2 linked regions of the Lonchura striata genome follow. The protein of the gene in region 2 interacts with the protein of the main gene of each other region in a biochemical or structural test. Links are inferred from orthologs where the notes say so. Each region holds a gene or a part of one and is shown on either strand. Other genes may lie near its edges.

The links. The genes of interacting proteins can lie anywhere in the genome.
Region 1: the proteins of DLG1 (region 2) and GUCY1A2 interact in a test that uses a peptide from one of them, tested with the Homo sapiens proteins (2 studies listed by IntAct, with this or other methods). The link is inferred for Lonchura striata from reciprocal best matches to the Homo sapiens genes DLG1 and GUCY1A2.

What each region holds. Positions count from the first base shown.
Region 1 is NC_134604.1:44,013,007-44,021,056, forward strand, and holds the start of GUCY1A2 (guanylate cyclase soluble subunit alpha-2), read right to left. Parts: upstream 3,047-8,050; 5' UTR 3,014-3,046; coding exon 2,759-3,013; intron 1-2,758. UniProt on the Homo sapiens protein: Has guanylyl cyclase on binding to the beta-1 subunit. Isoform 2 acts as a negative regulator of guanylyl cyclase activity as it forms non-functional heterodimers with the beta subunits.
Region 2 is NC_134612.1:15,040,728-15,047,936, forward strand, and holds the start of DLG1 (disks large homolog 1), read right to left. Parts: upstream 3,014-7,209; 5' UTR 2,948-3,013; coding exon 2,929-2,947; intron 2,657-2,928; coding exon 2,525-2,656; intron 1-2,524. UniProt on the Homo sapiens protein: Essential multidomain scaffolding protein required for normal development. Recruits channels, receptors and signaling molecules to discrete plasma membrane domains in polarized cells.

The sequences.
Region 1 (8,050 bases), on a different chromosome or scaffold from region 2:
ATATCTCAAATTTCATTCTACAGAATCTCATACAATTGACAATACAGCTGTACTAATTCATGAATGAATTGCACAGGAGATACATTTCATACACATTTTTGCACTACCTCTCCTAAGATGAAGCCTGTTTGCACAGCCTTCTGGCTGCTCTGCCCTATGCACACCCCTCTTGGGTGTCCAATGCTCTTTTGCCCCTTGGATGCCCCTTCCTGCTCTGTTCAAGGCTCTCCATGTGCCCAGAGCAGCTCTCATTAGCTCCTGCTACCACTTAGAACTCCTTTCATGGTACAATAGTATTAAATACACACACAAAATTTTTCTTCAGTGGAAACACAAAACAATATTTTACTGAGTATTCAGTCCTAGTCATTGCTGAAGGAAAGCACAAAAAACTACAGCTAAGTATAAACATCAGGAACTTGTAGCATCCTTCAACTTTGAAAGTTGGGATGAGGAAAAATAACTGCTGCATTCATGTTTGAAGAGACAATGTTAAACCCTGCAGGCTAGATATCTAGTATATACATCTGTATGCACATAAATATGTTTATATATTTAACAGAGACCCCTATCTATAGTATTATGGAATGAAGATCTATCTACATCTACAAAAAAATATTAGAGCTTCTTCTTTAGAAAGAACATCTGTCAGTGCTCCCTTCAGACTTGCCTTCTAATTTAACAAACAATATAAATGAATCCTATTAAATCAATTTTATAGGCAAAGTGGTTTTTTTTTTTTTTTACTTCTAATTAAAGTTATTCTTGATTTATATCAGTAGATGTGAAAAAATAATCAGATCCAAAGTGTTAGACATATGGTAACTTGACTTGTTGCATGAAGGCATATATTCAGTATCACAGAGCTCAGTAAGAAAAGCACAAAATAACAAAGCATCTTAACAGTGGTTTCTCTGAGTGAAAAATGGCAGGAGACCTGGTTCTTTTCTTAAACCAAGACTAGAACAATAAGACTTATTTGACTTACTGACATTAATTTATGCCAAAATGCGTAAGATGGGAATGAAGCTGTAGTTACAAAGCAAAGAAAAAAAGGGAAATTTTAAGTAATGTGTATCATATTATAATTTTTAAATAACCTATTTTTTTTTTAGCAACAAGGATAGCTATAATTACCTCCCAGGGAAATCATGAAAGCTGTTGTTTGGGACATTAAAACCAAGTTAGACAAAATTTTTGCATTCTTAAATAAAATTTCTCTGTGAGCAGGGGAGAAAGAGGACTTGATCTATCAGAATTTTATTCATGTCTTAATTCAAGGAATATGTTTATTTTGAAAACAAATTCATCAATTTATATGTAAAACTGTAATTGTCTCTTATAGCAGCACAATACAGGAGGTAACAGGCAAAGCTTAGAAAACACAAATACTAAGGTTATTTCAAAATACTGTGCTGAACTACTTCTGAATACTTCATATAGTTGGGGTAACAAATGCTCTAATTATATCATTGCATTACTATCAAATTAAATAGCTTCTCTTTTTTTTAATATACTAAAACAAGACAGGTCACCTGAAATATCATCTATTAATAACAGCATTACAAGACCAGATTCCCAGTGGAGAGGAAAAAAATCAATGTGAAAGAAAAGTCTTAACTGCTACTGGATGACTATTAGCTATTTAATGCACTAAAACTTCTCGCATTAAACACCCTGTCTACTCCTGTCCAGTGTTTAAACTCCAAACAGAAAAGAGTCTATTAAAACAAATGCAAACTGAGAGCTGATGGTGATGAGACTCATAAGGAATTTCCAGAACTGCCTAATAATATGAAAAAGATTATATGATGCCACAATAACAGATACAGTTGCCCTGCACATTAAGACTACTTGTTGCCATTAATGTTTTATGTTTTTAAACATTAAACTATCTCAGACCCCAAACAAACATTCAGTTGCAGCTGAAACTTTAGGAGAAAATTTTAGCAGTGATCATAGACATATGTACAGGAGCATAGCACAAGCAAAACAAAAAGGCAGGAGAAAAACCTTCTTTTTCACACTAATCTACAAGAGCTCCTGAATCACTGGTTTCAGTCTTACAAAATTATACCAGCATATGTTACAGGCTCTACCTAACTTCGCTCCTGCTGTTAACAGCATACAGACAATGGGTCCCTGACTCAACTACAGATGCAGCTATCCAAGCAATCATTAAGTAGTGGATTTCAAAGTCTGCTTTGAAGAAACTGATCTGTCAGTAATGTCTGCACATCCACGAGGCACAGGGAAATCTGTTGCTGAAATATTTCCGAGCGCATAGCCAGAACTTTGTTCTGTTTTACCCTATTCAGCACAGAGAAGCCCTACAAATGTAAAAGTTCACATCCCCTCATTGTTCAGGAACGATGTGCACACCATGCATCACACAGATGTAACTTTTTATATTAAAAAATAAAAATGTTGCTACTACCAGTGATAAGCACTTTATTGCTTCGTTTTCATTCAGAAAGGGACTCGGCAGAAATTATAAACCCAGCCAAAGCGGCAGCTGCGCCTAAGCGTGACTCCCGACCCGATTTCCAGCAGCGGGCTGCCGGGAGCTGCACTCCCGCAGTCTGCGGGGCTGGCAGCCGGCAGCCGGAGCGGGCGCGGAGAGGCAGCGGGCTCCAGCGACCCGGCGGGTCCACCAGGGAGCGGAGAGCGGGCACGGCCGCTTTTTTCCCGGCAGGGACGGAGCCCGCGGGGCAGCCGGGGCTGCTGTGCCGGGGCGGGGGCCGGCGCGGGCACTCACCGCGGGGGCCGTCAGGCGGCGGATGCTCTCGCCCAGCGAGTCCAGGTTGACCCGCCGGCGGCGCGGAGCGCGGCGCGCCCCGGCGCTGGCCGCGGCGGCGGCGGCGAAGGGGATGTCAGCGGGGCCGGGGGGGCTGCGGCTGCCGTTCCAGCACAGGCGGGACAGGGGACACTCGCCCTCCTCCTCGGGGCTCGTCTCGGGGCAGTCCGAGCCCAGCGAGCTGAAGGACTCTGACGAGATCTTGCGGCGGGACATGGTGCCGCGGGCCGGGCTGGGGCGGCGGCGAGCTCAGCGCGGGGCGGCGGGCAGCCGCGGCGGGCAGCGCCGAGCTGGGCGGGCGCGGGGGCGGCCGCCTCGCATGGCCGCGAGTGCCCCTGGGCGGGCGGGAGGCAGCACCGGAGCCGCCGCGCCGGGGCCGGCGCAGAGCGCGGCGCTGCCCGCTCCGCGGCTCTCCGCGCCGGGCCGGGAGCGCGGTGCCGCGCCGCGCTCGCCGGGAGCCTTTAAAGCGGCGGCGGCGGCAACCGCGGCGGCTGCTGCCCTCCTCTGCCTCGGCCGCCCGCCCCGCTCTCCCCTCCCCCGGCTCCCTCGCTGCTCCGCGGGGATCACGTGTTGTTCCGAGCCCTTTCCCCCTCCTCCTCCTCCCGCCTCCCCCGCCCCGCTCGCCGCCTGTCGCGCCCGGCCCCGCCGGCCCCGGCCCCGCCGGCCCCGCTGCCCCGCGCCGCGGCGATGCCCCCAGCCCGGCGGGGCGGGCCGAGGGCAGGGCCGGCGCGCAGCCCGCGCTCCCGCCCGCCGAGCTCTGCGCTTTGGCACTCTGGAGCCGCGCTGAGGGAAGCGGGGAGGTGGCCCGGCACCCGCGCACGGCTCCGCGGGGAGCGGCGGTGCCAGCGCCGGGAATGGGGACGATCCCGGGGCCCTCCCGTGGCAGCCGCCCCGGCCCCGCCGCCGCCGCCTCCAGTGCCGCCGCGATGCTGGACAGCTCCCTGGCAGCTCCAGCGGCCGGGGAAGCCGGTACCCGCCCGCTGCCAGCCTCCCCGCCAGCCAACTTTTAAAATGACATTAGGGAACCTGAAGCTTAAGAAATAAATCTTTTTAAAAACTGAGGAGAGAGGATGCAGGTCATCTGCTTTCAGAATCAGAAGCTGTCTTTCTGCAAGCACTGCTCCCGTTAACACTGTGGGTCATGTCCAAAACAGCAAAGAAACTAAATTCCTTTCCACGCTACAGCCCTGGCAAGGGGAGAAAGGACTGGTCTAGAGGACCCAAAGCAGAGGAGCTTCGATCCCAGATGACACACAAGGTGTCTCCTTCCCAACGTTCCCTACCCATGCTGTCAGTTTAAAGACACCTTTCAAAATTCATTCCAATAGTGATAATCCCATAAAGTTCTCCTCAGCAAAAATGTTCCAAAGAAATGTGATCTGAGCTGAAATGGTTCGTCCTACCATCAATGAAGACAGCTTGTCATTACTTTCCCTTTGTTCAAACAAGACTTACTTTAAAAGGCAATGATTTTTAAATAGTTTTTACTCTACCTTTTCACTGTATTATGACATGTTTTACAACCGTATCCTTTTAAATGTCTGAATGCAGCCTAAACAAGGACTCACTGAAAAAACTAGGGACATATCCACAGGTATGAAGGAGCTTTTGAGCATGACCTCAGGCAGCAAAAGCCAGTGTCTGCTCACAGATGGGGCACAGGTCTAGGGCCGAGCATGCTGCTTTTAACTGGGGCATAACAACCTTTGCCAGGACATTGCTTTCAGTGTATCATCCTTGTTTCCCTTGACTCGCATAGTGTCTTTTTTTTTGCTTTTTTTTTTATAGAAATAGATATGAAGTCGAATGATTGAAGCCTGTGGCTTGAAAGGATGTGTAGTAAAGCCAGAGTGTACCATACTACCTTCTGTTGCCATGGGAAGTATTACACTTGGGATGCACAGACTTTCCTTTTGCAGTCCTGGTGATTCCCTTGGCAGACCTAGGACATGAATCAGGCATGCAAGTAATTCACACATGAACCTTCAGATCTGTTGTACTTATCTGCGTTTCCTCCTCAAGTGATTAACAATATTCATCAGTATCTGATGAGTGTAGGGAGGCGAAACAGTCACTGCCTTTTTTGTTCCTCCTTCTGAACAAATCCCCATTTTCACAGGTTCTTTGAGACCTGCTGCACAAGCCCTTGCTGGCCTGCAGGCCAAGCTCCCACTATTGAAGGGACTCAGGAACTAAGGGGTCTGGAAAGTGCCCTTTGGTGCTAAACATCATCCCTAGCACAGGGTACTCTGTGTAACATTGTTCATGTGCTCCAGTTTCCACTAAATTTACTTCCTTCTCGTAGATCATTTCATACAGTCCTCAGTGAAGTAAACTACCACTGGCTTCCTGGTTGATGAAGTGACAGTGACAACTGGGTAAGAGCCACATAGTTTAGCACAGAAAATGCAAATACATATTTATAAGTTCTAAACTGCAAAAATACCAAAGTGTCAACTGGTTCCATGTGCAGCACTTCAGCTGTAGGGCAAGCAACTTGCTTGGAGGCATTTTGCATTTTATTCAGCACTAGGGAAGAGGTTTACAACATGACAAAAATGACACCTTTTCAGTCTTCAGTTTCCTCTTTTTCTTGAAGTTTAAAGTAGCACTTCCCAATGCAACTTAGTGGTAGCATTTGACAGTGCTTCTGAGTGTTTTTATTACATAATATAGTTATCCTGAAATGGAAAGGAAGATTCTCTACCTCAGTGACTATTCCTGAGGTGAGGACATCATAACTAAATGTACTTGTGTACCAAAGCAACTCTTTTCAAGAATGTGAAAGACATTTTCCTCCAACATCAAGATAGTGAAGTTCATAACTCAGGGGAAAATGCCATTAGGTTCTTCAAGTATTATTTTATTCAGATGAAGCAGAGCTTTGAGTAAACCCAGATAGTGTTGGCTAGTCTGATTAGATACAACCTTTAAAGCTTGTGAAAGTAAACCTCATACCTGCCCAATCCAGTTACTAAGGATATCAGTAGTATGCGTACTGCAACTCTGGGATTCATTATATGAAGTACAGAGAACTGAATAGAGAAACCAGCTGGAAAACTACCAAACATCATCATAAGTTGTCTTGAACTAAATAGAAATGGACAGCAGAAGATTCAAGATGATGCAGATTCTGGAGGTGAGTCTGGTGAGCAAACAAGTCATTCAGTCCCCAGTTAATTATTCTCATTTAATTTCTCTTGATCCAGACACAGCCTTGGCAAAAGCTAAATACCACAGGGATTGCTTCATCTGGCTGTCAAATGCCTTTGAGAACCCATAGACATAGACATTTACAGCATATAAGAACAAATATTCTTCTTTTATACATGTCTAATCAGCACCAACTTGTAGTTGGCAAATTATTGAGTAAATAGCAGAATGTCTGTAAAATTAATAAGGTTCACTAAAAGAAAGCCAATGCAATTTTTCATTCATACTACAACAATGTGCAATGTATGTGTCCCACATTACAGACACGTCAGAAAAAATATGGAGTACTTTTAATTCTTTTACAATTTCAAATGCATAATTACTCTTCTCATTAGACCACTGGCTGAACGTGCCCCAGGGTGTGCCCAGGTGTCCAAGGAGGCCGATGGCACCCTGGCCTGATCAGCACTGCTGTGCCAGCAGGAGCAGGGCAGTGACCGTCCCCCTGCACTCAGCACTGCTGAGGCCACACCTCCAACCCTGGGCTCAGTTCTGGGCCCCTCACTGCAAGAAAGACATTGAGGGGCTGGAGCGTGTCCAGAGAGGGGCAGCGGGGTGGGGTCAGCCTCTTCTTCCAGGTAACAAGTGACAGGACAAGGGGACATAGCCTAACATTGTGCCAGGACAGATGCAGGCTGGACATCAGGAAGACCTTTTTTTTTTTTTTTTTTTTTTATTCCACAGAAAGGGTGATTAAGCATTGGATTGGACTGCCCAGAGAGGTTGTGGATTAGCACTGTGGTTTAGTTGACAAGGTTATGATCAGTCAAAGGTTGTACTTGATGACCTTGGAGGTCCCCTGCAACCTAAACGATTCTGTGTCTATGATTCTAAGGAAAAGATTATGAAAATCACAAATGTTTTATCATTTTTTATCTATTTTCATATTTTTGTCTTAGTGCTAATGAGCAAACATTACAAAACTGAGTTCAGTCCTGACAGAAAATACATAGTCTTTAATTTCCATTATTTAGAGTGTGTTAGTTTATTGGTAATTATTCATGATTTTTATTTATTTGCTACTAACTATGCACTTCTCATCAGACATATGTTGGAGTTTTCATATTATTTTTGTTCACAAATGCTGTTTTTCTACAGCCTTGGAAGATTAAAATAACAAAAACAACATCATCAGAGTGCATTGCATTGCCCTGTCTGCCTTTGTTGAGAAAATGTTGGTTGCAAAGCTGCTAAAAGTATTTTAACTAATCCCTCTTAGACATTAGCTGCACATATCACATATATATCTCACATATATAATATATATAGTTCATATAATTTCACCTACTACATTATATGGCTTTTTATAATAATCTTTTTTATAGTACTGCTGAACCTGTAAGTACTTAATTTTCCTTTAATAGAAAAGATTGTTGTCACAGGATCAATGTGTCCCCACAGAGAAAGTAAACACCTGTTTTGCAAAGCATTTCTAAAGCAGCAGGAGACTGTTATCCTGTAACAACATTGTGTTACAATTACTTTATTGCAGTCAGGCAAAATGAATGATGTGCAGCAAATTTATTCTTCTTTCACATTCTGCCAAACCTTCCTGTTCTTTATCCAATGACTTCCATCTGGAGTAGTGCCTGGAAGGATGGCTGGGGCGTTCTGCCATTCGTCATTAATGATCTGTTGAATTACAGCTGGCTTGAAGAACAAATCAATTCTATATTTCAACTATTCAGAAATATAGTTTATGTGCAAAGTGCAGCAAATTCACATTGGTCTAACTTGTTGTTCTAGTCATCAGGTTATGTTTGAGTCCAGCATGTTACCGAAGCAGTAATGAATCTGTTTTTCACTGCGAGATGAGATGATGATGTAATGAAAGCAGAAGAATCTGTCTTAATGCTCATAAAATATATTTAATCTTAGATCTTCATCACACTATTAGGACTTCTTTTTTGTCGATGAGAAAAGCAAACAAAGCACTGGTGACATACCACAAGACTCACACCACCTAGCAGACCACCTAGCAGAATAAGGAATACCTTGTTGCCTAATCCAACTTCAAGACAACTTTATTCAGGATCAATT
Region 2 (7,209 bases):
GAACAGTATTTGATTGCCAAGTCAAAAATTATACTAAAAAAGATGCATGAAGTTGACAGCAGATCCTGACTACAACCTTCACAAACCTACCTACTATGGGCCAACAAGTCTTGGATATAGTGCAGTAACTTGGCAGAAAAAGGAGAAACTAAATGGATGAAGTTTGGTGGGGATTTTTTTTTAGAGTTATTCTATTAAAAAAAAAAAAAAAAAAAAAAAAAAAAAAAAAAAACAGAAACTAAAAGTAGCACACTTTCTGGAAGAAGGATCTACAAGAGAAATAACTCAGTATAGTTGAGCCACATTGAGAACATCATTTGGCTATTTCAGTTGGGAGCACATCACAACTTCTATAAAATGCACACTTCAAATTGAGCCATAAAGCAATAACCAACAGAGAATTCCAGGTAAGTCTAACCCCCAGCACAACTGAACATTTCATCCAGCCTGCTCCCAGATCTTCATGGAAACAGGACAAGAAGGAGCCAGCTTAAGGCCTTCCCAGTAACTGAAGCCATCCTCCAGATCACAGCCTTTCCAGCGAGCCTCCCCACTCTTTTTTACCCCCATCATGCAGTAATCACACCATAAAAGAAGGTGCTTCCAGGAAAACAACAGCCAGGAGCAGCCTGTCAGGGACAAGAACTCCCTTGACATTTGCACAGAAAGTAACAGGTTAAAGGAGAAAGACCCAAGTTGAGAGCATAAATTGCTTGGCAAGTACCAGCCTTCTGCCAGATGGTTTGGGAACATATGTATGCAATCTAATAAACTATCACACAGGGACCCAGGAAATGCAAAGTTAATGCAACATGCCCAAGAAGCACCTGCTGTGCATGCACAGATGAACTCAACAAGAACTAGGGTCCTGTGGTTGCAATGTGCAGCTTCTTACAAGTCCAGAAAACAAGTGACACAGTCCACCCAGGCAACAACCCATTCCTCCTTTCTGCTCCTGCAGACATGAGGCTGCCTGCTCTTTCAAGTCCACTACTACTACTAGGTGTAGAATTATAAACAATGAACATTTATATATGGAGGGGAAAAAAATACATCTTGCAATTTGAATATCTAAGTCTAACAGATTGGTATCTTTTCAATGAAGGGGAGAAAACAGAGTACTGCATGGACCTTGAAGAGTTTTAAAATAAAAAACCTTCATACATACACACACCCAGAACAAGAAAAATGGCAGTCAACACTGAAGTTTTCTGGGTGAAAATAAAAAGTGCTGCTGCTGTACATTAAATATTTGACACAAGATTTCAACATTCTGATCTGCCAAAGAGTGAATCCGTTCACATGGTCCCACAAGGATTATGTTAACTCTTCATCATGGAGTTGATTAGCATCAACTGTCTAGTGAAGAGAAATGCAGAGTTCCTATAAGGAAAAGTCTTTTAAGTGACCTATTTTCACAACTACCCCACAGGAAGCTACATGTTAAGGAAAAAAAACATCACAACCACTCTCTTCTGAAAATCTACACATGATAAAATAAACACTCCAGAAGAAAGCATTCAGCAGCAACGCATGTTTATGCTTTTCCTGTCCCTGTGCTTTCACCAGAACACAGGTTGGAAGAAGCTGCAGGCCTGTGAAGGAAGATGTGCACCCTAGCACAGTAGCCATGTAGTAAGTCAAGTAACAAATATAGCTACAATGTTTGCCATTAGTCCCACCGATTCAGACAGTGGTTACTATTAAAAGACAAGGATACAGAACAACTTTTATTCTTGAGGGTAAGCTAACATTGACTGTCATAAAGATAGTGACAATCAATCAAGAAGAAACCACTTCTCACTGTTTCTCTGCAGAAGTTTCCAAATAAAGACAGGATTCTGCAAGTTCTATTTATGTTCAGGGTTTTTTTTTTTCAACCAGACCGGCAGGAAATTCAAAATTACATGCGACTTCTTCTATGAACTTATGGGAACATATCAAGTCAAGCACTATAAGGACTGTAAACTGAGATCTAAAAGTGCTTTCTCTATACTTTTATATGCAACAAAGGAGAATACTCTAGTACTCCCTGAAGCATTAGAGGTTTCCTCTCATTTACTTTAGGTTAAATTTGCACTTCAGTTATACACTTTGTGTTGTTTTTAGAGAATCTTCAACCGGAATTGCGGCTTCCTTAGACTAAAAACATTTCAATTCATTCACTAACCTGTTACATACAGACAGAAAAAAAAACACACCCTCCTTAGAAATTTATCAGGTGAACAAAGATGCATGGAGAAACAATCTCAAGAAATCTAGGACAACATGTCACAGAATTAAGAACTATTCCAGAGTTTTAAGCAGTTTAGACCAGTTAAAAACCTCAAATAAAGAAAGTACGTGTAACAAGTGAACTGTTGATCTGTAACAACACGTGTGTTACTATGCAAAACAAAAACACAACGACAAGCACATGGCTTTTAACTTACGGGTAAAACACCTTTTGCTCTTAACAACACAAGCGACAACATCAGCAAGAACCGACCGGCTTGCGCACGAACTGAAAGAAGCCAACGTTTACCTATCAAAGCCTGGAAAAGGTTACTTTGGAAGATGCTGATGACACGCTCGATGGAGTTCCGCAGCTGCCGATCCTCCGCCTGGCTCAGCTTGGAGCGGTATTCCTCCAGGAGGCGCAGGGCTCGCTGGGTATCTGCAAGCGGAGAGCAGGCACACTGTCCGGGGCGCACCGGGCAGGAGCCCCGGGGATGCAACAAGCCCCGGCGGCCGGGACCGCCCCGGCCGGCGCGGAGCTCCTTTGTTCGCAGCCGGGAGAGCGCGGGCGGGACGGTGCCCCCGGCGCGCTCGCAACGCCCGCAGCCCCGCGGCTCCCGCCAGCCGCCCCCCGCCCGTCCCGCCGCGGCAGCGGCCGCCAGCCGGCGGCTCCGGCGGCCCCGGCGGCCGCGGCCCGGGCGCGGAGCTCACCTTGCTTGCGGACGGGCATCGCGCCCCGCGCTGTCCCGCCCGGGGCTGCCCCGGGGCTCCGCCGCGCGCACTCGGAGCGCGGCCCGGGGCGGCGCGGGGGGCGGCGCCCCCTGCCGGCCGGGCGCGGGGGGTGGCGGCGGCCGCCCCGCCGGACCGGCCCCGCCGCCCGGCGAGCGAGCGGCTCCGCGCGGGGCTCCCGCCGGCGCCGCCGCGGCGCGATGCGGGGCGAGCCGGGCCGGGCCGGGCCGGGCGGGACAGCGCGGGGCAGGCGGCGCGGCGGGCCGGGGCCGGGGCGGACGGGGCCGGGACGCTCCCGCCACCTCCCGCCCGCACCGCTCGGAAATTCCAAACTTTCCAACCAAAATGGCGGCCTGGAGGCTGGGGGAGCGCACCCCCCCCACGTGACCGGGCCCGGCGGGCGCCCAATCAGGGCCCGGCGCGGGGCCGGCACCTTGGCGGCGGGGGGGGAGGAGGCAGGTGAGCGCTCCCCGCCTTAAAGGGGCCGCCCCGCCCCGCCCCGCCCCGCCGCGCCCGCCACCGCCACCGGCACCGGCACCGGCACGGCGGCGGCAGCGCCGTGAGAACCGGCCCCGGCGGAACCCGCCCCGAGCGCCCCTGCACCACATCGCCGCCGCCGTCCCCGGCGGTGGCGCCCGGCGTGGGCTGCGGGAGGGCGGGAGCGCTCCAGGTGTGCGCCGGGTACCTGCGGGATCGCCTGTCCCGGGAGTGCGGGAGTTTCCGGGCCACTCGCACCGAAGCACCGCCATGGTGCCGTGGGAGTGCCGGGCACGGAGCGGCTCCTGCCGCGAGGAAGCGCAGGTGGAGCCGTGCCCGGCCGCGGGGAGCCCGGGGCCGCCTTTCGCAGGGCCTGGGACAGGCAGGAGGGCTGAGGGACCTCGCTGGCCTCACCGGCCTCCGCAGTCAGTACCACACAGAGCACTGCCACCCACCTGGTGCTGGGGCTTTTCCCTCAGTCGTCCTGGAAGAGCAGGATGAGGAGGAAGGACTCGAAGAAAAATAAATAGCTTTGGACATAAGGTCAGCATAAGGACATCACAGGAGAAAACATAAAAAGTTTAAGAAATGGGCTGTATAGGCTGACATCAGGGACTGGTCAGAATAATGATAGTCACTTTCTCAAAACTGGCATGGAAATGGTAATAAGTTATTTTCAAAGGCAAAACATCTTGTTTTCTTTTAAGATGGCAAAGAGGTAACAGCATAGAAATAGGTGCCTTGGACATATGAGCTAAATGGTCTTTGCAGCATATTCTATATACCCACTAAAAGGAAATGTATATTAAAGCTGGTGGATGTAGGAGCATCCCTTGCTCTAAGAGGGAATGTTAACTTATCTCTCAATGAGATGGACAGTCAACCAGAGCCCCTGATCTGATACACTTCAAACCCTGTAGGTATACATGTATGAGAGGCAGAAAGAGACTTGAAAGTTCAAGGCAAATACTGCAGATGGGGGGGTGGGGGGGGGGGAGGTTGTTTGGTTGGGGGTTTTTTTGGTTTTTCATCCAAGCTCACATTTCCATTTACACTTGTTAGATTTAAGCACAACTGAAAATGTTCAAGAACTTACCCAAAGAACCTAAAAAGAGCCTCCTGGGCAACTCTCATAAATTTGAAGTCTAAAAATCAGATCCAGACTTCACTTTGGCAAGCACCTAATCTTAAGGAATATTACACCATGACAGATCTAACCTAGATCTAGAAAAGGCCTCTCTCTTTTCCCTCCCCAATAGTCCTATGTTTTGTTCTTTGATTTGTGTCAGGAGTTTCTCCTGCTCCCATAGCTATGTACTGTGAAAGTGTTCACACATCTCATTGAAGCAAGCAGAAGATACATTTAGTGCTGACACACAATTGCCCATTTTCTTCCTTTCTTGTTGTATTTTCATATCACAGAATTTTGGCACCAGCTGGTACCAGTTCAGATATTTTGAAATGAAAGCAGGCTAAGAAGAGACATTGGCAGAAGCCTCCATCATCTGGCCTCATCAGTTTTCAGTGTTTACAACAGCAATAAATGTGCTGTAAAGGGGCAATAGCCCTCTTGATGTCAGAGGAATGTATATACAGAAGGAGAGGAAGAACAATCTAAATTTAGCTAGCAGAAAGGAGACATCTGCAGCATTTTGATTGGTTTTGCTGACTGACAAAAATGTATTATTACAAAAATAAACTTTTTTTACTATTAAAGGAACCACTATAAAGAAACTATTTTTTTATATACAGTATTTGATGTTTCCAAGTCTTTTTTTATTTTAAATAAGAGATAATCCCATTACATACGGTCACTGTGCTGGGGATAGCGAAATAATCCCATATATAACACCCTGAGACAGCATTTCTCACTTGTTACTAATGCTCTAGGGGAACAAAAAAAAAAAAAAAAAAAGAAAGAAAGAAAACATCAAAGAGGGGGTCAGGATGATGGATCAGCAAGTCAGGAAGCAATTAGGTGAGCTTTATTGTACCTCAGAGAATGATGTTGCTTCCCGGCACTTCTGTTTCTGTTCTAGGAGTGTATTTGCTGATTGAAAGCAGTTGAACCAGAAACACAGTATTAAACTTCAGTATGAAAAGTGGGTTTGAAATTCCAGCACATATAGAAAATATCCCATGAATGGAAAATTACTTTTTGCTAGCAACATTACAACTAGAGACAGTGTTGCAAAATTGTCCTGTGTTACATATCATCTTCTACAGGCTCCAGCTTCCAGGAAATTGTGTAGTTTCCTTGGAGGAGGGGAAAACTGAGTGTGAACCAGAGCATCATTTGTGCCACGACTTTAACAATATCATTTAAATCAAACCACTACAGGCAGCATACAGAAAAGCTTGTACTCTAAACTGTGACTGATGTGGTCAGTATAGAAGTCAGCATTATGCTTAACACGCCCTGGCTGTGCTCCAAAATGACCCTTGGCATAGGAACTCCAGGACAATTACACAAAGCAGCAGCCCATTGCCACTTTAGTCCTCAGATGCATCTGAGGATGTGACCAGTGGCCTTTTCCCACTGCCCTCAGATTTCCTTTAAAATCCCTTTTGCAGCTGCTGCCAGGAGTGTGCCTGGGATGTTCTGCTGGGATGGTCTCTGGTAGGGACAGGCAGCTTGTTGCAGCACACATACTGCTTAGGAGGGATGTGTAATACAGAACCAGGCAGCTTTTGGCAACAGGGACGCCGGCACAGCACAAGCTTTTCCCCTGGAAAACCTTCTATAACAGCCACCTGATCCTAGCCCATGTCATTTGTACATGGGGGGGAAAAGCAGCCCTGTGTCAGAGCCTAATAATCCCAGTTTCATAAACTATAGTGAAACAGAGATGATGTTTTCCCACTTTGAGAAACTATGCCAGAACTTGTTGGCAGCTGCCTGCTCTGGCAAGTGATCATAGTAGTGAGCCCTGCCACAGATTTGTACCTGATCCTACACCAGCTCCTACTCCTCAAAGCAGTCCAGCTGCCACTTTAAAAATGGCTCTTTCTGCTTTAGAAACTTCACCTGGTCAGCTGGCACCACACTACAAGGAGCAAGAATGCTGACAGGCTTCTTATGTTTTGAGGCAATCACAATTTGGCCACAGGCTGGGCAGCAGGACATGGGGGGATTGACTTCATGCCAGCTACCTGGTGAACCCCTAAGTCCCACTGGAGCCAGCTGACAACGTGGACTTCTCAAACTGGCAGTGGCAGTGGATGTGTTGCAGATGATGTCCCACACAGTAACTGGAGAGGTATAATGAACTCAGAACAGGAGACTTCAAAAACCATTCCCTAGATTCACACACAATGTCAATCAACACAAGAACACCAAGAAAAAAATGACAGCAGACATCATCACATGGCAAGAATTTACAGTAATTAGTATGGCCAAAAAAATACAGTAGTTACAAGCTGAGACAAATTCCATTACAACATAAGGTAGAATAGATTAAATAAATACAGGTACATCAGTTCATAATTAAAGATGGACACTGTTGTATAAGGTGGAATATTTCTAGAATACTATAATTATAGTATTAATTTTAGTAAAAAGAAATGCTGACTGTTGAAGAATAAAGAGTAAAGCTCAAGACATTTTTATGTGGGGCTTACTAATGAAAGAAAACACAAGAACAATAAAATTGGTGCTCTCTTGATTGTCAGATTAAGTGTCCAAAGTCACCATACAAAGTAGATGATTTGTCTTATTCATTCAGAACTGGGAGTTGATGCTCATGAAAAGATCTCTGACAGCTGCAGAAAAGGTTTCACTTCCCT